Linked DNA regions of Rhinolophus ferrumequinum. The protein of the gene in region 3 interacts with the protein of the main gene of each other region in a pairwise test. Links are inferred from orthologs where the notes say so. Each region holds a gene or a part of one and is shown on either strand. Other genes may lie near its edges.

Evidence for each region.
Region 1: the proteins of PCBD1 (region 3) and trefoil factor 3 interact in binary tests that used the Homo sapiens proteins (3 or more experiments, as listed by UniProt). The two-hybrid records come from large-scale screens. The link is inferred for Rhinolophus ferrumequinum from reciprocal best matches to the Homo sapiens genes PCBD1 and TFF3.
Region 2: the proteins of PCBD1 (region 3) and HNF1A interact in binary tests that used the Homo sapiens proteins (3 or more experiments, as listed by UniProt). The link is inferred for Rhinolophus ferrumequinum from reciprocal best matches to the Homo sapiens genes PCBD1 and HNF1A.

What each region holds. Positions count from the first base shown.
Region 1 is NC_046285.1:106,268,607-106,276,300, forward strand, and holds trefoil factor 3, read right to left. Parts: upstream 3,019-7,694; 5' UTR 3,007-3,018; coding exon 2,925-3,006; intron 1,573-2,924; coding exon 1,426-1,572; intron 340-1,425; coding exon 326-339; 3' UTR 140-325; downstream 1-139. UniProt on the Homo sapiens protein: Involved in the maintenance and repair of the intestinal mucosa. Promotes the mobility of epithelial cells in healing processes (motogen).
Region 2 is NC_046308.1:13,562,004-13,569,079, reverse strand, and holds the start of HNF1A (hepatocyte nuclear factor 1-alpha), read right to left. Parts: upstream 3,019-7,076; 5' UTR 2,787-3,018; coding exon 2,461-2,786; intron 1-2,460. UniProt on the Homo sapiens protein: Transcriptional activator that regulates the tissue specific expression of multiple genes, especially in pancreatic islet cells and in liver. Binds to the inverted palindrome 5'-GTTAATNATTAAC-3'.
Region 3 is NC_046299.1:48,901,773-48,909,160, forward strand, and holds the start of PCBD1 (pterin-4-alpha-carbinolamine dehydratase), read right to left. Parts: upstream 3,013-7,388; 5' UTR 2,998-3,012; coding exon 2,842-2,997; intron 35-2,841; coding exon 1-34. UniProt on the Homo sapiens protein: Involved in tetrahydrobiopterin biosynthesis. Seems to both prevent the formation of 7-pterins and accelerate the formation of quinonoid-BH2. Coactivator for HNF1A-dependent transcription.

The DNA.
Region 1 (7,694 bases), on a different chromosome or scaffold from region 3:
GGGTTATTTTCCTGCTCACGAGGCTGGGACAGACCCTCTGTCAGAGATGCTATGACACCCCTTGCCATCCCCCACCTGTGAATTGTTGAGAAGGGAGTGAGAGCAACTTGGCAGAAATAAAACACAACAACATAAAGTCTCAGGAATGAACACCTGGCCTTGTGCTGAGCATGGATCTTTATTCTTTAAGACATCAGGCCCCAGACATCAACTTTCAGATGAAGCCTTGCCAGGAGCAGGGTGATAGAAAGGCAGAGATGAGCGGGCAGAGTGCCTGGATGTGGACGTTCACCTCCCAGGGTGTCCAGGGGCAGTGGGCGTGGCTTCAAAATGTACATTCTGGAAACAAAGCACAGGATGCATTACCGTGAGCAGGTCTGGTCTCCACCCACCCGACACCCAGCTTCTCAAGGTCAAGACAGAACCCAAGTTCAGCGCCTTAGGCTGCATTCTCCCCCAAGTCACTGGGGACGTGTTGAGTCCCCCACCCTGTGGGAGAACAGCCACATGTCCTGCCAAGCCCCAGGGGACACCCCATGTCCAGAAAAGAAGGTGTCACCCCAGGCTGAGGAATAGATAGAATAAGGACACCCAGCAAAGGGACAATGGGTAGCTCTGCCTCCTGGTCCCAAAACCTTATCTAGACCTCTGCCCGGATCTGCTGGCAATGGGGAGGAGGTCCTCCCTGGGCAGTGGGCAGGGACCCCGTTACTGACCAGCTGGGGGGCAGCCCCTTCCTCATTATCCTGGGACAAAGGGCAAGAGCGGCCCCCAGGGTGCTGACTCCAGGAAGGCGCCTAACGTAGCTATGTCCTCCTCAGAGGTGAGCTGGCACTTGGGCTGCCAGGTGGCTTATGGTGACCTCCACGCCCAGGATGTGTGGGGTGGGGCCGGCAGGGCCCAGACAGCAGCCACCCGTGTGCACGCCATCTGTTGCTGACGTGGGGCTCCCCGGTGGTTGTCCTGCACCCCACTGCACCACCCAGGGAGGGAGCAGGAGGGGTGCTTCGTGGTGAGGCGGGGTGGGGGGAAGGTGGCAGGGTACGGAGAGACACCAGGGCTGCAGGCCTGGTGCTGCCACCCGTCTGCTATCTGCATGTCACAGATAATGGTGGCTGGCTGGTTTGCTGAATACCTCCTGGAAAGTCGGCCCAGCTTTCCACACGTACTCCAAGATAATTTTAAACTAGTTCTTTCTACATAATACCTTGACTTTGAATACTTTTTGGAAACGATTGCTTTTACATTTTGCACAAACCGCTCGGCAACAGGACAGCCGGGGACAGCCACTGGCAGCTGACTGCCCTGGACACGAAGCCTCTGACTGAGGCGTCCACCAACGGACAGCATGGCCCAGGGCCCAGGGGGACCCGGAGGAGCCATCGCAGGCCCACAAAGGGCCTGGTGCCTGTGGGGCTGGCTTACCTGACTTCTCCAGTGGCTTGAAGCACCAGGGTACCCCGGGGATGCTGGAGTCGAAGCAGCAGCCCCTGCTATTGCACTGCTCAGCGGTGACCTGGGGATAGCCGCAGTCCACCCTGTCCTTGGCCGGGACGGCACACTGGTTCTCCGCTGTGCCAGACAAAGCCCAGTCAGCTGCCAGGGCGCTACTTGGGGTTGGTCTGCTGGCTTCAGTTTGCAAGTTTGCACCCCCATCCCGAGTCCCAAATATGTGACCCCCCACCCACATTGGCTCGAGGAGGATGCTTTTTCCGTGTAAATATTTAAAGAGAAATGTTCTGTAGGAAGTCTGGTCATCTGCCCGGGTGCTCTTAGCACCTCAGGAAGTCAGCATGGGCCTAGGCTCCCTTCAGCGGGCAGAAGCCATGGACCAGGTCCCTTGAACCCAGAAACAAAGTTCCCTTTTACTGTTTTATCAACGAAAATCCCTCCCACCCTTTCTTTTTAAATGAAAAGTGTAACAGAAGATATACATCCAATAGAGAAAACCACAATGCACGCTGAGTTTTTCACTTCTTTCCTGCACCTCCCTGTCCCCAAATTGTTTGGCTTGTCACACCTTCCCTTACATCCTCCAGTCTTCAATGTTCGTTTTTCAAGCAAACCTGTACGTCTAAGGTTAGTATGTCCCCTTTGCCTCATCACCTAACTTTTCCTTAGGAAAATAGAAATCACACGAAGTCTCTTAAATCCTCTTCTATTGCTGCCAGTGTGTAAGTCCTCACTCCCATGGTTCCCAAACTTTGCTCACATTGGGACCCACGGGGGACCTCTCACTACGACTGATGCCCACCCCCGCTCCCACCCAGAGACGTGTAATTGGAGCATCCTGGGCTCCAGGTGAATCGGGAGGTGCCAAGTCTGGGAACGCTGCCTTTGACACGGCTACAGAGGTGAGCTGATAAAAGCCACACCCTCGTTTCTTCAAAGCTGGGATAATGAAACGGTCACATCTCCTGCCTGGAGTTACACTGCAAGGGCTAAACAATTTCAGAATTGTTCTGGAAGGAATCCTTGTCATTTGTCTTCCCTTTTGTTTTGTGATTGCGTCAACACAAAGCATAAAGGCCTGTGTTGTGATTCGTAAGTCTAGCAAAGCAGGTGACGGGATGGTGGTCTGGGGGCTGGCTGCCAGCCAGGCAGGCCTGGGTTCGAATCCTGCTTTCAGTGCTGACGGGCAGGATTGCCTTAGGCCAGTTATTAACTTTCTGCGCCTGTTTCCTTGTCTAAAATGAGGACAACAAAACCCATATCTAGGGCTGTCGAGGGAAAACGTGTGTGTCTGGTAAATGGCAATTATTCAATTAACGTGGGGGCTCCATTGCCTTCCTCAAGTCCACAGAAAGCTCCAAGCCTGGGTCTCCCGTGCCCCTTCCCTTGGTGCTGCGTTCCCACCCTGCCACCAGCCGCCCCCACCCCATCCTTCCTGCTGTGGAGGGAAGAGAAGTCAGAGAGGTACTCACACAGGCCCACATACTCCCCGGACGAGCTGGAGAACACCAAGGCCAGGACCACTGTCAGCAGCCAGGGCAGTCTGGCCTCCATGGTGACGGGCGCGCTGTGTGAGCCGGCCACTCAGTGGATGTGCCACCTCTGCCAAGAAGTCTCATTTATACGCCTGTGTTTGCACAGGTATTCCGGAGTCTGTTTGTCTGGGGACAGGCTTTGCCTCTGGCTCTAGCCCCGCCTGCTGTTCCCTGGGCTTGATGGGAAAGCCCCACAGGCTCACCTCCGTGAAGGGGAGAGGGTGGTGCTGACCCCACTGGTGACGCTGGGGTTGACACTCCTCTGTCCGGGAGCAGGGCTGTGTCAGCCCCCGTCTGCATGGCCTGGGGGGATGGTCAAGGCTCAGCCTGCCAGGAGCAATCCAGAAGCTACCCTAGTCAATGACTTGAGTCCCCACGCCACTTACTCCCAGATCAGCCCTGAGTTCTTGAAGAGTCAGGTGCAATTTCATTGTTCTCTCACAACTCCTGGAAGGCACATTCCTGTCCTTTCCTTTTTGCTTTTTATCCAGCAAAAAATATTTTTATCATGAACTACATTTCCATAAGTGTAGTCAGTAAACGTATTCAATACATTGTAATAAAAATACAATACGTGCAATTGTTTTGAAAATCAGACAATGCTAAAGATGCCCTCCTGTCTAGTGGTGTCCGTGTTTGATACGGTCTTGAGTATTTTTCCAGAACGTTCTCTAGATCTAAGCACGTTTTTAACACAAATGGGAACTTACCATACACCTATGCCCAGCTTGCTTTTTTTTTAAATGAAGGCAAATCTGGAAAATTGTTTTATAACAGCATATCTAAATGACATGAGAATCGTTATACCCATTTTCCAGAGGAAAAAACTAAGGCACAGAAGTTAAGGTGGCCATCAGAGGTTGCTCTAGAAGGCCATGTGGAGCTGGGGTCAGCCCCCCTCTGTAGGGCCCTGCAATCTCGGCTCTTGTTCACAGCCTCCCCCCTTCCCGTGCAGGAGAGAGCGTATGGTGTTCTAGTTACTGTGGTGTCTCCATAGTTCTTTTCTGCCTGGGGCATCCTGTCAGGTGCTGCCAGTGTTACCCAGTGACTTTTCCAGGAGCCTCAGGTGGGTTTTGCATGCCATCCCAGCAGCAGGTGCAGCTGGATAGTTGAACTTAGTCCTCCCGGTTGGGGGGATCTGAGCACCCAAAAGTTTGCCCACAGAATGGTCCTTTATTGAGTGACCGATGGGGCCAGACTGTGCACGCATTGGGGACAAGGACCGTGTCCCACAGTGGGACTCTCCAGGCTGTCATGCAGGGTATCATGCGGGGTCTCAGCTCCCGCTCCCCACATAAGAACGCAGGACATGGTGAGGCCAAAAAGGAACACCCACGGAGCCATAGATAGGGGAGTCACACCACTATAGTCTCGCTGGCGGCTGGGTTGGAGACACAGGAACCAGGAGCCACACAATTCTCAACCCTTACTGCTCCGCTTGCAGGCTCAGCCACCATCTCCTTGCTAGCCCCCATTTTCTGCTAGCCTAGCCACAGCAGTTATATTAGTGGCCAATGGCTCACTGGTTACAGCTGACGGCCAACTAGCCACAGCTGATGGCCATCCAGTCACAGTTGACGGCCATTTACTACCTGAGCCAGCACCTTTCCACGTGAGGCCGAGAGCCTGGAAACTGCACTCCTGGCTCTGTCCCCACACAGGCCCAGCCCCTTATACTCAGTGAGCCATCGATGACCTGATTTGGGCAATGCCTGCCACTGGTCTCCCACCTTCTCCAAGGCAAATGCAGGCGGGAAGACGAGAAGAGCCATTCCTACATTGTTTTCAGGGCGTTTGCTCTGTTCCCAGAGGGAGGGAGTGCACCCAAGCTAAAAGAGGGCACCATTTTTATGCTATGAAAAAGATCCTCCTGGAGAAACTCCTGGGAGCTGTTTCCAGCCAGACCTTCTGCCTACCCACCCATAACACCCTTGGGCCTGGCCAGGCTGTGGACGTGGGCCGCGTTCCAGAAAGTGCAAACACCTCAGAAACGGGCCTAGAAGGGGCAGTTATTCGAAGGCTGCTCTGACAAGCAACATCTTTGAGTGTCCTGGTCTCCACCGGCTAGAACCATGTGGATACCAGGGCCCTGCCCCCAAGCAGGTAATCCAGAGACTGAAGCCCACTGAGCATCCGCGCCCAGAGCCACCGCTGGTGTTTTGCTTTCAGTGAAACTCCGTTACTATCCATTGAGCCAGGGAACTCCCCCTCCCCCTACAAACACCACACACCCTGGGCTTGGTGTGCAGCTGTCCCAGGGAAGGTAAGGGCCACCTGGACGGGCCCAAGTAGCAGGCGGTCTGGCTCTGAGACTGAGGTGCAGGATGCATGGCCTGGCCATTGGTACATGTGTGTAGCAAGCATGGACCGAGAGTGGATCACGGGCCAGGCACTTGGCCTGAGAGCTGGGCCCTACGGACACCAGGCAGAGCTGCGGACCTCAGAGCCCACAGCCCTGTGAGGAAGAACAAGCCTTGAAGCGTGACTTGTGATGCAATGCGATTAGACCTGGCAGAATGCTGCACAGCTGGCTTCTCATCAGGATGAAACCTGACTGGGTCTTGAGGGATGGGTAGGCGTTCACAGGTGGGTGAGGGTCAGAGGGGGTTCCAGACAGGTAGTACTAACGCACCACCCCTCAGAAAATATGGTGTCCTACACAGCGTTAGGACGTGTCACCTCTCGGCGTCTAATCTGGTCACTCTTGGTTACTGAAGCCAGCAGAGAGCCAGGTGGAAGAAGAAGGTACAAGGTCATGCTCATCAGCATCCCTGGGTGGGCCCTGGGGTCCCACACCTCCCGGGGCCGCCTGCTGACCAGCTGTCACCACGTTCTGCAGCTGCCTGGGGGCGGGCCGCTCCCTCTGTGTTCTCAGTTTCCTCCCGTCGAAGCTTCAGGATGTGAGCAGCCATCCTAGTGGATCGATTCGGGGAGCCTCCTGGCTTTTGGCGTGGCTTCCACTGAGGACAAACAGGGAGGGCGTTAGACCCTGCAAATGTGTCACCCAGCAACTGTGCAGCGGAGGGGAGGGGGACAGGGTCCCAGTGAGAGGGCCCTCGGATGCCTCTCATCCTACCACAGATGGTGGGGGTATGTGACAGCCCCTGAGCACATAGGGGAAACTGCTGTCTGGCTCAAGGTGTCCTTGGGGTGGTTCCAGCCTCAGTGACCACTGATTCCACAGCTTTGGCTTTCGAGCTGTTGCATCGGCCCAGGTGCTATCACAAGGAAACCTCCCCAGGAATGACCGGGCTGATGACCAGGGCACCAGAGGAAGAGATAAGTCAGAAATAAACAGAGCTGGTAGCCGGGGAGCAGATGTATCTGAGGAGACCTGCCCGTCATTGGCAGCCCCACCTCCCGGACCCAGACCCGAGCAGCTGGCCCTGCTCCAGCAGGAAGCGAGGTCTCACAGCCACCGAGGGGAGGACCTGGAAGGCGTCGAGTCACATCTGCCAGGGCCCTGTGCTGAGTATGTCCTAGAAGGAGGGCGAACATGGTCCCTGAAAGGCCCGGGCAGCAGCAGGAGACCCCAGGGAGCCCGGTCCTCCCACCAGCCCGAGTTGGGCAAGCTCCCGACCTCTCTTGGGTTTCAGATTTCTTCCCTGTGAAACAAACCATTGTCACTAAGTGACTGCCAAGTGTGCTGGGTAGAATCGTGTCCTCCCCAAATTCACGTCCTTCCTGGAACCTCGGAGCGTGGCTTTCTGGGAATAGGTGTAATTGTTTAAGCTAAGATGAGGTCACACTGCAGTAGGGTAGGTCCTAAATCCAGCTTGAGTGGCATCCTTATAAGAGGGGAAGAGATGCAGAAACAGACACAGGAGGAAGCCGATGTGAATGCAGACACGCAGGGCGATGCATGTGACAGCCGAGGCACAGACTGGAGAGGTGCAGCTGAGAGCCAGGACGCCCTGGACTGAGGCGGCCACCACAGCCTGGAAGAGGCAGGGAGGCCCCTCCCTTGATTCCCGCAGGGGGAGCCCGGCCCTGATGAGACCAACACCTTGACCTCACACTTTTCTCCAGAAACGTGGGAGAGCAGATTCCTGTTGTTTACACCACCAGTTTGTGGCTTTTTGTGGTGGCAGGAAACCAATACACTGAGGGAGGGACATCGGCTCTGAGCGTCTGTTTAACTTGTACTTTGTCGGTGAGAGGAGGAGAAGGGCATGGTTGATGATCTTGACAGGTTTCTCACGGGGACCCTCCCCTTTCGCACCCTGACCCAGCTCCCCTGTGAGGGGGCGGCTCTGCCCAGTGCCCGGTGCCCCCTCCCCAGGACCCTGTCTGCACTACTGACTGCAGGCCTGTGATCCCACACCTGTCCCCTGCCCTCTCGGTGCCCATCTGATGGTCGCTCTCTGTGACTCCCTGGCTAGTCCGTCACCTCATGTTTGTTGAATCCCTTCCCATGCTCCCACACGTCACCCCAGTAATCCCCACCTGGTCTTTTCTTCCAAGTTCCTTGTCTCGGGAGGCTACGGCAACAATTCTTGTGGGAAATGCAAAACTGTCACTTCCTGGTCAGGGCCCAGCCAGGCTCTGGTCCAGGAGGCCCAGGCACGTGGCAGCCCACACCCGGGGAGGCCCCACGGGGAGGTGACCGTGTAAGGAGTTGTCCAAACAGGGGCACTTCAGAGTGTCCAGGTGATAGCAATGATTACGCCGAGACTGCAGACTTGACAGGCATGATCCCAGGCCAGC
Region 2 (7,076 bases), on a different chromosome or scaffold from region 3:
GCAGAAGGAACAGCACATGCAAAGGCTCTGAGGTGGGACTCAGCAAAGTCTGTGTAACGGGAGGAAAGGGAGGGAGGGTGAGAGGTCCCTCAGAGGACAGGGAACTGGGCCAGGGAGTTTGGATTTGATTCATTGTCCAGGTAGGGAAACGGAGGCAGGAGGCAGAGAAGAGACTGGCCCAAGGTCACACAGTGAATTAAAGGAAGAGCTCAGGGCCGTGCTGTAGCCTCAGGCACAGGGCGCCTGGGGAGATCTGGGACCCAGGACCCACGCTGCCTCTTCCAAGACACTGTCTTCTGCAGACAGATGGAAGTCCTGCCTCTGCACCCTCCTTCTGCGCTTCAAACTCCCCCACTGCCCCGGGCCGACATCAGGGGTCCCGAGCCCCTCTCCTTCCTGTTCCCTGGGACTATAGGTCCCACTTTTTTCCCTCAGGGCGGTTTCTGATCCCTTTTGTTACCTGAACAATAAGTAACCCAGGTAGTTAGTTATAAACTCCGCAGGAACAAGGAGCTGGTTGATAATTTATAGCAACATCTCAAATTTAAATGGAAAGTAAATAGCATGCTGTTAGCATTAAAGAAAACCCAATCGGGGCAGGCGGGAGCACTCCAGCCTCCTCTCAGCTTGGGGTGCCTCTCTCTCTCCCCAGCCCCTTCTCCCCGCTGGGTGTGAGCCCCTCTTTCCTCCCACTCCTCTTCTCAATTCTGCTTCTCCAAGCCTCTATCCGTCTGCCCCACGCCCTCTCTCCTCCTCCCTGTCTCCCCTTTCTCCCTCAGCTTCCAGGCCTCTGCTGGTCCCTAGAGAGCACTTTAACCTCTGCTCTCACCCTCAAGTGCTGTGGATCAAGCCTCCCCCCACCCACCATCCCACCAAAGGGGCTGCTGATCAAGAGGCCCCACCCAGCCAGGTAAGAAAGGCCCTTGGCACCCCCTGTCCCCCTGTCCCATTTGAAAGCCCCCATTCCCATCTGGGGTCCTGAGCAGGTCTGGCCCAGCCCCACCCTGTCCCAGGTGCCCTCGCCCTGGGTCTGCCATGCCTGACTCTTTGCCCCTCCCCTGCAACATAGCAGGGCCCTTTGCCCTCCTCTTCCTGCCAAGTCAGGGGGCCTGTCTGCTCCCCTGCCCCTTGCCCAGGCCCTCACAAGGCCAGGCAGACTCAGAGAACTCCCTGAGGCAGGGATCCAGCCCTCCCCCACCCCAAGCTGGGGTCGGGACCTTGAACAGAAAAGAGAAGGTCCCTCTGGAGAGCGTCTTTGGAACTCTTCCTCAGACCCCGCCCCAGTGACTGTCAGCCGACCCCTGGCCCCCAGTCATGGGGATTGAGAGCACCAAACTGAGTGGGTGTGGAGTCCCAGCCGAGTGGCCTTAGTCAAGCTACTTCCCCTCTCTGGGCCTCAGTTTCCTCATCTGCGGAGCAGAGTTTCCATAGCTTCCTCCCAGGATTCATCTCCACATTATCCAAAATTATACGTACATGCAAACCCTCAGCACAGCACCCAGCTTAGGAAAGAGGTTAAAGGGGCGTTGGGAAGGGGGTCCTCACAGCCCCCAGACTTCCCTTTCCCCACCTCCGCTCCTGCACTTCTCCATCCCCCACCCCCGCTGGGTGGGAGGTTCATTGGCTCAGGCCTCCCCAGGCCACCATCCCTATAAGTTAATGATCACAGGCCTTATCAGAGCCTTTTGCCATTTATAAATTTATAAAACAAAAGAGAAATAATAAAGCCCATGGGTAATTAGTAACCAGGTTAGCTCTGCTGAGGAGAGGGGAGGCATCAGACTCAGACCCACCCAGTTCTCCGAGAGATGGGGAGCCAGCCCCTGGATGGGGGTACACAACGAGAGGCCTCTAATAGCGCCTGCTGGTGAGACAGGAGAGCCTGAGGTTGTGCTAGAAAGGAGAGCAGCTCCCGTTCTGAGGCTCCATCTCCCTCAGGTAAGAAAGACCTGGCTGAATGCTTGAGTCCCCGGGTGGCCAGGGGAGCCTCCAAAACCTCGGCCTTGCCCGCCCCCCCCCACCTCCCCCGCCATGCTCCCTGGCCCCCAAGCCTGTAATCTGAGCACTTAGCTGGGAAGTAGGGTCTGGAGTGTAGAACTGGCCATGGCTAAAAATTCCCACCACCCTCTCGTTCTCCAGGCACTTGAATTGTAAAGTCTCCTGCTTTTTTCCCATCTTGGAGCTCCCCTGGGGAATGGGGCCACTTCCCAAGCACTGGGCTGAAAGCCTTGGCTCATGGGGTCTCAGGACTCTGTGGAGGGCCAGGTGGGGGGAGAGGGGGCTTGGAGACCAGCCTCCGAGTAAACATCCCCCCTGAGCTCTCATGGGCCCTGTCCCCCTTCCCGACAACTGGGCTAAAGGCCCAGCTCACGGAACTCTGGCCTCAGCAGGGCTAGTCAGGGGCTGAGGGTGGGCCCTTCTGGGCTCCTTAGAGCTGGAGACAGGGAAGGGGGTGCTTACTGCAGCAGGCTCTCCACCACGGCTTTCTGGTGGGCCGCCTCCTCGGGGCTGAGGTTCTCCAGCTCCTTGAGGATGGGTGGCGTGAAGTCTTCCCCATCGTCGTCCGTCTCCTCCTCGGAGCCCCTCGTCTCCCCCAGCCCATTGGGCAGCTCGGCCAGCTCCCCTCGACCGCTGCCACAGGACTCCCCCTTGTCCAGGGGGCCATCTCCAGCCAGCAGGTAGGGCCCCGGCTCACCCAATGCCTGGATCAGTGCCTCTTTGCTCAGGCCCGACTCGAGCAGGGCTCCTAGGAGCTCCATCTGCAGCTGGCTCAGTTTAGAAACCATGGCTCCACTACCACGGGGCCACGCGGCCCGGGGCCACCAAGCGGGCCGCCTCCCCCACCGCGTGGACTGTCTACTTGCCAGCCAGTCAGCAGGCAGGTACAAACCAGGCTGCTTGCACCTATAGTCCCCCCCAAACCCCACTAGTCTAGCCCTGTGGGCACCCCCAACCCCCAACCCTGGCCCCGGCGGCCAGTGAATCAGGGCCCCTGCCCGCTCTGTTTACATTGGAGCTGGGGAAATTCTCCAAGGTTCATATTTATCCGTGTGCTTAGCGAAGGGACTGAACTTTGGACTTCAGCCCTGCAAAGTGCAGGCCTCATGGCAGCACAGAGGGACGGCGAGCCACGGCCTTCAATGGGAGTGGGCAGAGCGGAGGGTGGGGGAGGCGGTGGTGGGGGGCCCAGGGCAGCTGGGATGGAAGGTGCCGGGAGCCAAGGAGGACTTCGGGTGAGCAGCATCAGGTCCCACCCCCAAGGACCTTGTAGGGGGGCCAGGCTGAGGCAGGAGAGCAAAAACAGCAGGTTTCCCTTGGGAACAGAAGCAGCAGGGAGTTGTAGGCAAGTGGGCCAGCTCTCCTCAAGGGCAAGGTCATATTCATTTGGGGACCTGCCCCCTCAGGCCTGACACCAGGCCTGCCTGTAGGAAAAGCTGTTAACTGAGGTCTACAGTGTGCCAAGGTCTGTAACAATGAGAAGGTAGGTACAGGAATTATCCCCATTCTATAGAGGAGGAAACTGAGGCTCGAGGCTCCAACAGGGTACGCAACTTGCCCAAAGTCACACAGCTAACCAGGGACAAGACTTTCAGGGTGGAAATAAGGTGAGGTCTGTGAGGCAGTTGACTCAGGCGCATATTTGAAAGGGGTGCCAAAAAACTCAGTAAACAAAAAAAATCACATTTCTATACAATATATTTAAACATCAAAATGGATGCAAAACCCAAAAGAACGAAATACATGTGCACACAGAAACTCGCATGTGAATGTCTGTAGTAGCAGCGTTATCCACACTAGCGATGATGTGGAAACAACATGCCTCAGTGGATGAATGGGTAAATAAAATGTGGTCTGTCGATGCAGCGGTGTATTATTTGACCAGAAAACAGAACAAAGTGCTGTACAACATGGATGAACCACTGAAGACACTATACTAGCGAAAGAAGCCAGACACAAAAGGTTGCATATTATGAGTCCATTTATATGAAGTGTCCATCCATAACAGGCAAATCCACAGAGACGGAAAGTAGACTGGCAGTTGAGGGTCGGGGGGTGGGAGGGGCAGGGAACAGGGAGCCGCTGTTTAGTGAGTAAGGGGTTTCTTTGGGGATGATGGAAATGTTCTAAAATTGATTGAGTGATATTACACAACTCTGACTATACAAAAAACCACTGAGTTCTGAACTTGAAAAGGGTAAATATTTTTAAATGGTGAATTTTATGATATAGGAATCCATGAATGTATTTTTAAATTAATGCCAAAACATCTGTGATGAACAAAGTAGCAAAATTTTTTTAAAAAATGTTCTCACCCTCATTCACCTCCCCCTAATCCCAGCTCTGGGCAAGAGCTGGTCCTCGCAGCTCACCCACCTCTTCTCTCTTCTAGTCAGAGTCTTGACAAAATTCCTGCGGTGTGTTGCCTGGGTTGGCCCCAGAATAAGGGGTCTACCCAGGAGTAGGCGGGGTGGTACTGAGGGGCTGCCCTTCAGGCGGGAGCATTTCCAGAGGGTCTGCATCTCTCAGGGGTCTGCAGAACCTGGGTCATGCTTGGGAGAAGGTGCCATTGGCCACAAAACCCTCCCTGCAACTAGGCCAGGCCAACAGAGAGGGAATGGGACAGGTCAACAATAACAATAGAACTTTCTCCCCTCTATTTGGCTCACATCCACCTTCTTGGTCTGTCCACCCCCATACCTGGTGCTCCAGTCCCCCTTACCCTGAATTGCGTCTTCATTTTTGCACTCACTTACCTTCTAACATGTTGGCCAACTGCACTGCCCAACACCATAGCCACTAGCTACTCGTGGCTACTGAGCACTTGAAACGTGGCTAATGCCACTGGTTGAAATGACAATGGTTTGATATGTTGGGTGAAAATTTTAAAACAACATTTTTTAAGAAAATGTATTAAAAATTAGAAAAATTATTTTTGCCTGTTTCTGTTTGCTTTTGTAATGATACTACCAGAAAGTTTTAAATTACCTATGTGGCTCCTATTTCTATCAGACAGCACTGCTCTGTAGTTTACTTATGTATTCTGTTCATTATGTACGGTCTGTCTTCCTCTGCTAGAATGTAAGCCCCCTGAAGACAGGGCTTTTGTTTGTCTCATTCACTGTTATATCCCCAGTGTCTAGAATGGTGCCTCGTACATACATAGTAGGTGCTCGATAAATACTTGTTGAATGATTAGCTACATTTCAGCGCACATTGACCGTGTATACCTAGCTGTACGCTAAGCTTTAGTAATGTATTAAATTCTCAGACCGACTCTAGGAAGTAGGTACTGTTATTATTCCCCCAGAAGAGGGAACAGTCTCAGAGGGGTTAAATCGCGAGCCCAGAGTTCCCCAGAGCCAGATAGACAGACTGTGAAGGAGGACGTTTGCAGTTGCCCCTTGGGAAAGTGGGACCCCCACCTTTCCTCCAATGCCTTCTTTTCCCTCCAGTGCAAGTAGCTTTGGGGTCAGGTATCTCACTGCTGGGGAAGCGGGGGTGGGGGGATGGGTAGAATTCTCAAGTCCAAGCTATAGGACAGGGAGGATGCTGTGTGCTGTCCCTTGGTGGTTTCGTGGTTCTCCGGCTGCTAGCTCCTGCCAGGAGGCTGCTTGGGGGCTGCTGCTGCCCCTCCGCGACTTTTCACCTAGAAGGGCGAGAAGGGTAGGGCCTGGATCCTTTGAACAACTTTTGAACCCATTAACTTCTGGGTCCCCCTGCAGCCAGGTGGCTGGGTTGGTGAAGTGACTCTGGGACTGAAGGTGGACTTGGTTGGGACGGGGACCTGTCGGTTGTGGGTGGAGGTAGAGCCTCCAGGAGTCCCAGGGGAGGGGCTCCCACAGGGCCCAACTTCAGCTCCCAGTACACACAGAGGCTATTGTCTTGGGCCCCTGAGTAGGGAGGACCCTGTGATAAATGAGAAGGGACATCAGGAAACTGACCCTGCCTCTTCCAGGATGAGGCACGACCAACAGAAAGCTGGTCCCAGCCCGCAGCCTGCCCTTTCCCACCATCAGGGGACAAATCGGAATTGACTGGAGGTGGGAAGTGGCAATTTGCCTTCTTGAGAATCACACACGACCTCGTTTGAATTTCACTGTCCCCATACCCCCCACCCCCACACTGGGCCGCCTCAGGCAAGTGAGTTAGTTTTTCTTGACTCATCTATAAAATAGAGGTATGGATCTCCTAAATTAGCTTAAGACAACTCTTTGTGAAGTTGTAAAGATCATAAAGCAGAGATCCCAGACTTTCTCAATTCAAGGTGCCTTTCATGACTCAGTAATTTTTTCATGGCACAGCCCACCCCCACAAAAAATACTAACAGTTATATTTAGTAAGTAGTTAGGGCAAAACAACTAAGTATTTATGTCCTAACAACTAAGTAGCCCCTTTAAAAATGCACATAAATTGAAAGAAAAAATAATATTTTGGTTCCTTCTTAAATAATCACACACAAATGGGATGAGTGGCCTTGTTGGGCCCTAAACAGCTGCTCAGACCTTGGAATTAGATTGCATGTCACGTCACCACCTTCATTTCCTGTTCCACACTCATTTTTGCATGATACTTGCTTTTGATCAGAACAACTGCCATAAACCCAGCCTCACAAAGGTATGATACCATCCAAGGAATGGAGCTCCGCCTTACAAACCGTGAACGACCTTGAGTTGGTAGTTTGTAAGGTGGCCGGCAGATGTCACTGTGTTCCTTTCAAAACTCCCGGCGCAGAGTTTGGGGGAACTTGCGGACCTAATAGATCGTGGTGGACACAGTAAGTAGTATTCAGTAAACGGTAGCTGTGAAGCTTTACCACCATTCCCTCCTACTTGGAGAGCCGATGTCCGCAAAGCCAAAGTTCAGGCAAGGCATAAGACTTCTCTTTGACCTCCCGAGGTGGCACAAAATGGGTGCCTTGTGAACCAATCTCAGAGCTCTTTTGGAATTCACTTACCCCCACCCCAAGGCCTATCTGTATTCAAACTCCTATTCTTCCTCCTAGCCCCACTACCCTTTCTCGTGATTTCCTGACGGTGTCTTGTCAATCCAATTAGATTGTAAACTTTGCAAGAGCA
Region 3 (7,388 bases):
TCTCCTCAGCACTTAGCCTGTGTGCTTTGCCAGCCTGGGAGAGGGAAAAAACAGAAGCCCAAGGGCACTTCTTAGTACAGGACAAAAAAGAGGTCCCCAGACCTTTCGGGGAATTGAGCCAGCTGCCACTGGCTCCTCTGGACTGGGTGACAGTCAAAGGGCAGCTGGCCCAAAGCTCTAGACTGGGAGGTGTGGAGGGTGGCGCCCTGCCCTGGCTCATGCACTGATAGGTGCTGAGATTTTACATTCCACTCAAAAGAACAAAATCCCGAGGTGTAATGCACCTCGTCGGGACTGAGAAGCCGTCCTCCCCCACCGCTGCCCCCAAAGCCTTACAGAGCCCCCTCTCCCCAAAAGCTAGTTCTCTTACATGAATGCAATAAAAGTAAAACCAAGCCCAGCTGTGCATGTATGAAAGCACAACCTTTCAGAAAGAGTACCCCAACTGCCCAACCTTCCTTTCCTGTTACGGACCTTACGCAGTCCACTCCTGTGCCCCCACGCCACTCACGGTCAGGTGTATTGAAGTGAGCTGAAGCGGGGCGGGGGGGTTGCGGGTGGGAGTGACCACTGCTCCCCCCCGTCGTCACTGAGAGCACAGGCATAGTTCTCGAAGTGGGTCCGTGCCTCCTCGCTGGGACCAGCCAAGCACCCAGCACTTAAAACACGGTCCAGTTGACTCTTAGCCACACTGCAGTTGACAGGCCCTGGCACTACCTCCCGGTGGGTACGCCACGGTGCTCCCATGCAGCCTCTGGTTCCCAGATGCCAGACTTAGGGTTCTCAGACTTCCACCTTTCCTGTCAGCCTGGGAAGCCCAAGCCACAGAGCTCTGTTAAAAGTGGAAGTAACTTGGCCAAAGGTGACTGGCAAACTAGTGCCCCATCTATATTTTTACCTATTGTGCAAAGTGCCCTCGGGGTAGTCCAAATTGGCACCATTCAGGCCATAAGAGGAACCATCAGAGAACAGAAGGAAGCAAAAGTCAGTCCCATCCTCTGGGAGGATCCAAGTGTAGGAACTTAAGGGATCCCAGAATGAGGCTCCTGAAATAGAACTCCCCACGGACAGAAACTGGAGTGCTCCACTGAAGACGAATCGAGGTCTGGGGAGACGACGAGAGGGAGGTTAATTTGGCTTTTGTGAGGCAGCCCACAGACTGGGAGCCATGGGTGGAGTGGGCAGGGCTGGTTCAAACCCAGTTCTGCCATGCTCCAGCCAGGTGGCCCAGGGCACCTGTCTCCCTTGGCTTCATGGTAAAAGGGGATAAGAATTTCCACTTCGCATCAGCAAGAGGAGCTCACGGGACACCAGTAAGGGAATGTTATCTGCATTTTTAAAAGGAGACTTCCTGGGACAAGTAGGCATATGGGCCTTGCAGGTTTGGGTAGAATTGGAAAAGCATTGCACATTCTGACAAGTCAATCTTTTTCTCCTTCCTGACAACGTGTGTTCTCTCTGGAAGATCTGACTTGGTCTGTCTCCTCTCCTAAGCTCTCGAAGGCTAGAGATGTCAATAGAGACCTGTGTCACATGCCCAACTCCATCTCCACTCCAGAGCTGGCCTTTTCTCAGTGGCTGATAAGCCTGCTCTACGTATCCAGGCAACCAGATGACCAGATGTCAGCCAAGGCATCAGAACCCACTGTTTAGTTCTTTGGTTTGGAAAGGAGTGGGTGGGTACTGGTGAGCTCCTGGGAGGCCACTCTTTCTCTTTAGAATCTTCTGGAACCCCCCAGGTCTCTCAGCCTGGGGATGAACTGACAAGCCCCTCTGAGATCTAGGATCAGAGAGAGGGCAGGGGTGGTGTTTACTTAGTAAATCACAGGTCAGGCCTGCCTGGCCTTGATCTCTGGGGGAGTGCATGGAGAGGTTACTGATTACCTACGCCCTGCATCTCGGGGCCTCAGGGCACCTGTCAGCCTCACTCACCACCTCTTCTCCCACTAAGCTATAGCCCTCAAAATGCCTTCCCAGATAGCACTGCAGTCTGGACTGCTCCTAATGCTTTTGGGCTGTTAGGTCAAGCTTCCCTGGGTCTAGCTTCCCTGGGTCTAGCCTACCTCCCCTAGCTGCCCCCAGGGCTCACCTTCACCTCTCTGGCTGAGGGCAGGGGTGTGGGGTGTTGAAGCACAGGGCCTGAGACCCTCTTAAGGGGCAGCTTAGCCTGAGGGACGGCTGATCCTGAGCAATCACGTCCCCACTGCTGGGTGCAGGCCTCAAACTAGGCGCCAGGAGCTGGCTCAGAGGCCGGGGACAGCACAGGGTGCACAGAGGGCTTAGCCAGCCGGTGCCCAGAAATGCGATAAACAGGCACACAGACAACACACAGATTCACTCCCACGCGCGCGCACACCCACACAGGTTGACCCCCCACCCTCAATACAGAACAGAACCGTACCACCGAGGGGTCATTATCTGCGGGCTCACTATGCTGTCCCTCACCACCCCAGGCCCTGGTCCCACCGCCCCATCTTCCCATAGGGAGTTCACTAAGCCCCGCCCAAATTATTGTGGCGCGGAGGGGGCGAGGGCCTGGGAGCCAGGGGCAAGCCTGGCTGTTACCTGGCCTTGCCACCGCCCTCTCCCGGCCTCAGCTTCTCCTGGGGCACAACCTGGGGTGGGAGCGGGGCGGAGACCCCGATTCTCCGAATCCCACGCGCGGTAGTCTGAGAGGGGCTCGGAAGAACCCTCCCTGTCCCTCCCACTTCACCCTACCCAGCCCTGCCCTTGCAGCCGGCCTGGCCTGAACCCCACATTGCCCCCTTCCTCTCCTGGGGCCCCACTGTGCGCCCGTTCGTAACGGCTCTGCCGCGATCGCGCAGCGCGATCCCCCCTCACCATGTCGGGGCGCGGTGCGGGCGCGGGCGAGCAGCAGGTGGCGGCGGAGAAGGCGAGCTCGGCGCTGGGTGCTCTGGGCGGCCGTCGGGCGGGGCCGCGCTCGGGCCGCCCCGGGGCGGGGAGCGCAGCCGGGGAGGGGCTGCCGCCTGTAATCATTAACTTGGGCGCTAGGACTCTGTTCCCTTCCAGCACTTTCTTCGGTGCCCTTGTTATGGGGAGCTCGGGTTAAGTACGCGGGATCCAAATGCAGACGCGTTTGAATCGTGCTCTGTGTGAATCGTGCTCTGTGTGTTCCAGCTGTGTGACCCTGGGCGCGAGATTATCTGTTTTAAAAACACCTATTGAGGTATTATTGATCTTCAATAAACTGCACATTTTAAAGTGTACAATCTGATGCATTTTGACATATGTATGCCCCCCTGCAACCATTACCACCATCAAGATCATGAACTATCCCTCACCCCTAAAGTTTCCATCTATCTGCCTCCTCAGACAACCATTGATCTGCCTCCCATTGCCATAGATTAGATTGCATTTTCTAGAATTCTATGTGAATAGAAATCGCATAGTACGTACTCTTTGCTGTGGTTTCTTTCACTCAGCATAATTACTTTTTGAGGTTGACCCAGGTAGGTGCATGTGGCAATGGTTCTTCCATGGCTAAGTAAAACTTATTTGATAGTATTACATTGTATTGGATATAATACACATCACAATTTGTTTATTCACTTGTTAATGGACTTTGGGTGGTTGCCAGTTTTTACGCTGCTATGAACTTCCCGTACAAGTCTTTGCATGGATAGATGATGCTTTCATTTTTCTTGGGTATATAAATACCTAGGAGTAGCTGGGCTAGGTCACATGGTAGATGTGTGTTTCTAACTTCTTAGGAAACTGCCAAAGCGGTCATACCATTGTACATCCGCACCAGCCTTGGGTGGGAGTTCCAGTTCCCACCACTCTCACAGACACACCAATACTTGGTAGGGTCGGTCTTTTTAATTTTAGCCGTTTTCATTGGTGTGTAGTGGTATCTCATTGTAGTTTTAATTTGAATTTCCTTAATCATTGATGATATTAAACACCTTTTCATGTGCTTACTATTTGCCATTGGTAAATCTTTGGTAAATTGCCTGTTCAAATTTCCTGTCCATTTTTTAAAAATCTAGTGTTTTCTTATTTATTTTACTTTTTATTCTTTTAAGATTTGTATTAAAATATAGCTAACATACAACGTCATGTTAGTTTCAGGTCTACACCATAGTTATTCAACATTTACATACCTAAAGAAGTGATCACTATGGTAAGTCCAACAACCATCTGACACTGTACCACACGATCACAATATTGCTGACTATATTCCTTATGCTGTATGTTACATCCCTGTGACTTGTTTGTTTTATACCTGGAAATATGGAACACTTATTCCCCTTCACCTTTCCCCCCCTTTTTTAGTTTTGGAATTACAGTTGACATTCAATATTATTTTATATTAATTTCAGGTGTAAAGCATGGTGGTCAGACATTTGTGTAATTTAAGAAGTGATCCCCCTGACTAGTACCCACCTAGCACTGTACTATGTATTATCATACTATTGACTATATTTCCTATGCTTTACTTTACATCCCATGACTATTTTGTAACTACCAGTTTGTACCTTTTAATCCCTTTACGTTTTCACCCTGTCCCCAACCCCACTCCCTTCTATCACCCCAACAAATCTAGTAGCCATCTGACACCATACATAGTTACTACAATGTTATTGACTATATTCCTTATGCTATACCCTACATCCCCATAACTACTCTTTAACAACCAATTGGTACTTTTTAATCCCTTCCCCTTTTTCACCCACACCCCCAACCCTCTTCCCATCTGGCAACTATCAAAATGTTTTCTGTATCCATGAGTTTGTTTCTGTTTGTTTATTTTGCACTTTAGATTCCACATACTGTGAAATCTCATTGCGTCTGTCTGACACTCCACTCAGCACAATACCCTCCAGGTCCATCCATGTCGCCGCAGATGGCAAGAACCCATTCCCTTCCATGGCCGAGCAATATTCCCTTGTATATATGTACCACCTGCTCTTTACCCATTCATCCATTGACGGACACCCAGGCTGCCTCCGCATCTTGGCTATTGTAAACAATGCTGCAATGAACATATGGATGCACACATCTCCTCGAAGTAGCGTTTTGGGTTTCTTCAGATAAATACCCTGAAGTGGGATTACTGGGTCCTTCTTTGTCTCTTCTTATAGCCTTTGTTTTAAAGCCTATTTTGTCTGATATAAGTATTGCTGCTACCCCAGCTTACTTTGTTTTGTTTTTTTCATTTCCATTTTCATGAATATCTTTTTCCATCTTTTCAGTTTCAGTCTATGTGTGTCTTTCAACCTGAAGTGAGTCTCTTGTAGGCAGCATATATAAGGCTCTTGTTTTCTTATCCATTCAGCCCTCCTGTGTCTTTTGAGTGGAACATTGAATACATTTACATTGAAAGTAATTGTTGATAAATATGTAGCTAGTGCCATTTTTATTATTCATAATTTTTATCTTTGTTTTTTGCATCTTGAAGTCCCTCTAATATTCCTTGTAACACTGGTTTGATGATGATGAACTCCTTTAGCTTTTTCTTTTCTGGGAAGCTCTTTATGTGTCCTTTGATTCTAAATGATAGGTTTGCTGGGTAGAGTAATCTTGGTTGTAGGTCCTTGCTTTTCATCACATTGAATGTTTTGTGCCTGTCCCTTCTGGCCTGCAGAGTTTCTATGGAGAAATCAGCTGACAGTCTCATAAGTCTCTAGTTGACTTTCTCTTCCTGCTTTTAGGATTCTCTCTTTTTCTTTAACCTTTGTCATTCTAATTATAATGTACCTTGGTGTGGCCCTGTTCGGGTTCATCTTGTTTGGGACTCTCTGCGCTTCCTGGACTTGTATGTCCATTTTCTTCGCCAGGTTAGGAAAGTTTTCAGTCATTATTTCTTCAGATATGTTCTCAATTCCTTGCTTTAGCTCTTCTTCTGGTACCCATAATATGCAATTGTTGTTTTGCTTGATTTTTTTTGGATTCTTTTTGCTGTTCCAATTGGGTGTTTTGTGCTACCTTGTCTTCCAAATCATTGATTCAGTCCTCTGCTTCATCTAGTCGGCTGGTGATTCCTTCTAGTGCATTCTTCATTTCAGTTATTGTATTTTTCACTTCTGACTGGTTCTTTTTTTATGGTTTCTATGTCTTTTTTTATGCTTGCAATCTGTTTGTTGAAGTTCTCACTAAGTTCCTTGAGCATCGTTATAACCATTGTTTTGAACTCTGTATCTGGTAGGCTGCTTGTCTCCATTTTGTTTAGGTCTTTCTCTGGATTTTTCTCCTACTCTTTCATTTGGGATGTGTTTCTTTGTTTCCTCAGTTTGGCTGCCTCTCTTTGTTTGTTTCTATGTGTTAGGTAGATCTGCTATGTCCCCCAGTCTTGGCCAGGTGGCCTTGTGTAGTACGTGTCCTGTGGGGCCCAGTGGCACAGTCTCCCTGGTCACCTGTACCAGATGCTCCAAGAGGGTCCCTTGTGTGGGTTGTGTGTGCTCTCCTGTTATAGTTGATGTTTGGTTGCTATTGGCATGCCAGTGGTTGGGATTGACCCTCAGGCTGATTGGCTGTGAAGTTTTGCCATGTCCGCAGCTGCTGTGGGTGGGGGTAGGTTTACCCCACTAAGTGGGATTCACCCCAGTGGGCTCTGATACCTGGTGAGACCACCCTTTGGGTGTGCCACTTGTGGGATTAAATGGGTGGTGTTCTGCTGTGGTCTGAAGCCAACCTCCAAATATGTTGGTTCTGGGGCCTCTTGTGAGGGGCTCCAGTGTAGGCCCAGATCATCTACTGCCTGTGACCAGCTAAGGACTACTTGGTAAGAGCTACAAAGAGATCTGTGGTTTTTTGCTGCCTGTGCTAACCCTGGAGATGCATGGGAGAGGTCATGCTTCGAACCAAGGATGTCTGCTACCATTACCAGGCCTGGGGTAGCTCCACAAAATGTCGGGACACCCTGAGCCTGCTGCCACCTGCCAGCTCCTTTAAGGTTCAGCCACTGACAAAGCCTCAAGCGGTAATCAGGTTTGGGAGAGGCAGGGTCTCAAGGACTCACAAGAGTGGAAAGAGTTGTGGTCACCAGGTTAGTGTAAATTCTGGTTTGGTGCCAGTACTTAACCTGAAGCTTCTCAGCAAAAGTCTCAGAGCAGGGTGGCTAATTGGCTCAGTTGGTTAGAGTGCAGTGCTCATAACACCCAGGTCACCTGTTCGATTCCCACATGTGCCAGTGAGCTACGCCCTCCACAACTAGATTGAAAATAACGACTTGACTTGGAGCTGATGGGTCCTGGAAAAACACACTGTTCCTCAATTTAAAAAAATATACTGTATTGTAATCATTAAAAAAAAAAGTCTAAGAGCACATTGAGGCCAATTGCTGCCTGCCCTGGGTCTGTCAGACTCTGATAGTTTTCCAAGAAAGAGTGCAATGTGGATGAGGCTGGCTGCTCTTAGAAAAAGTG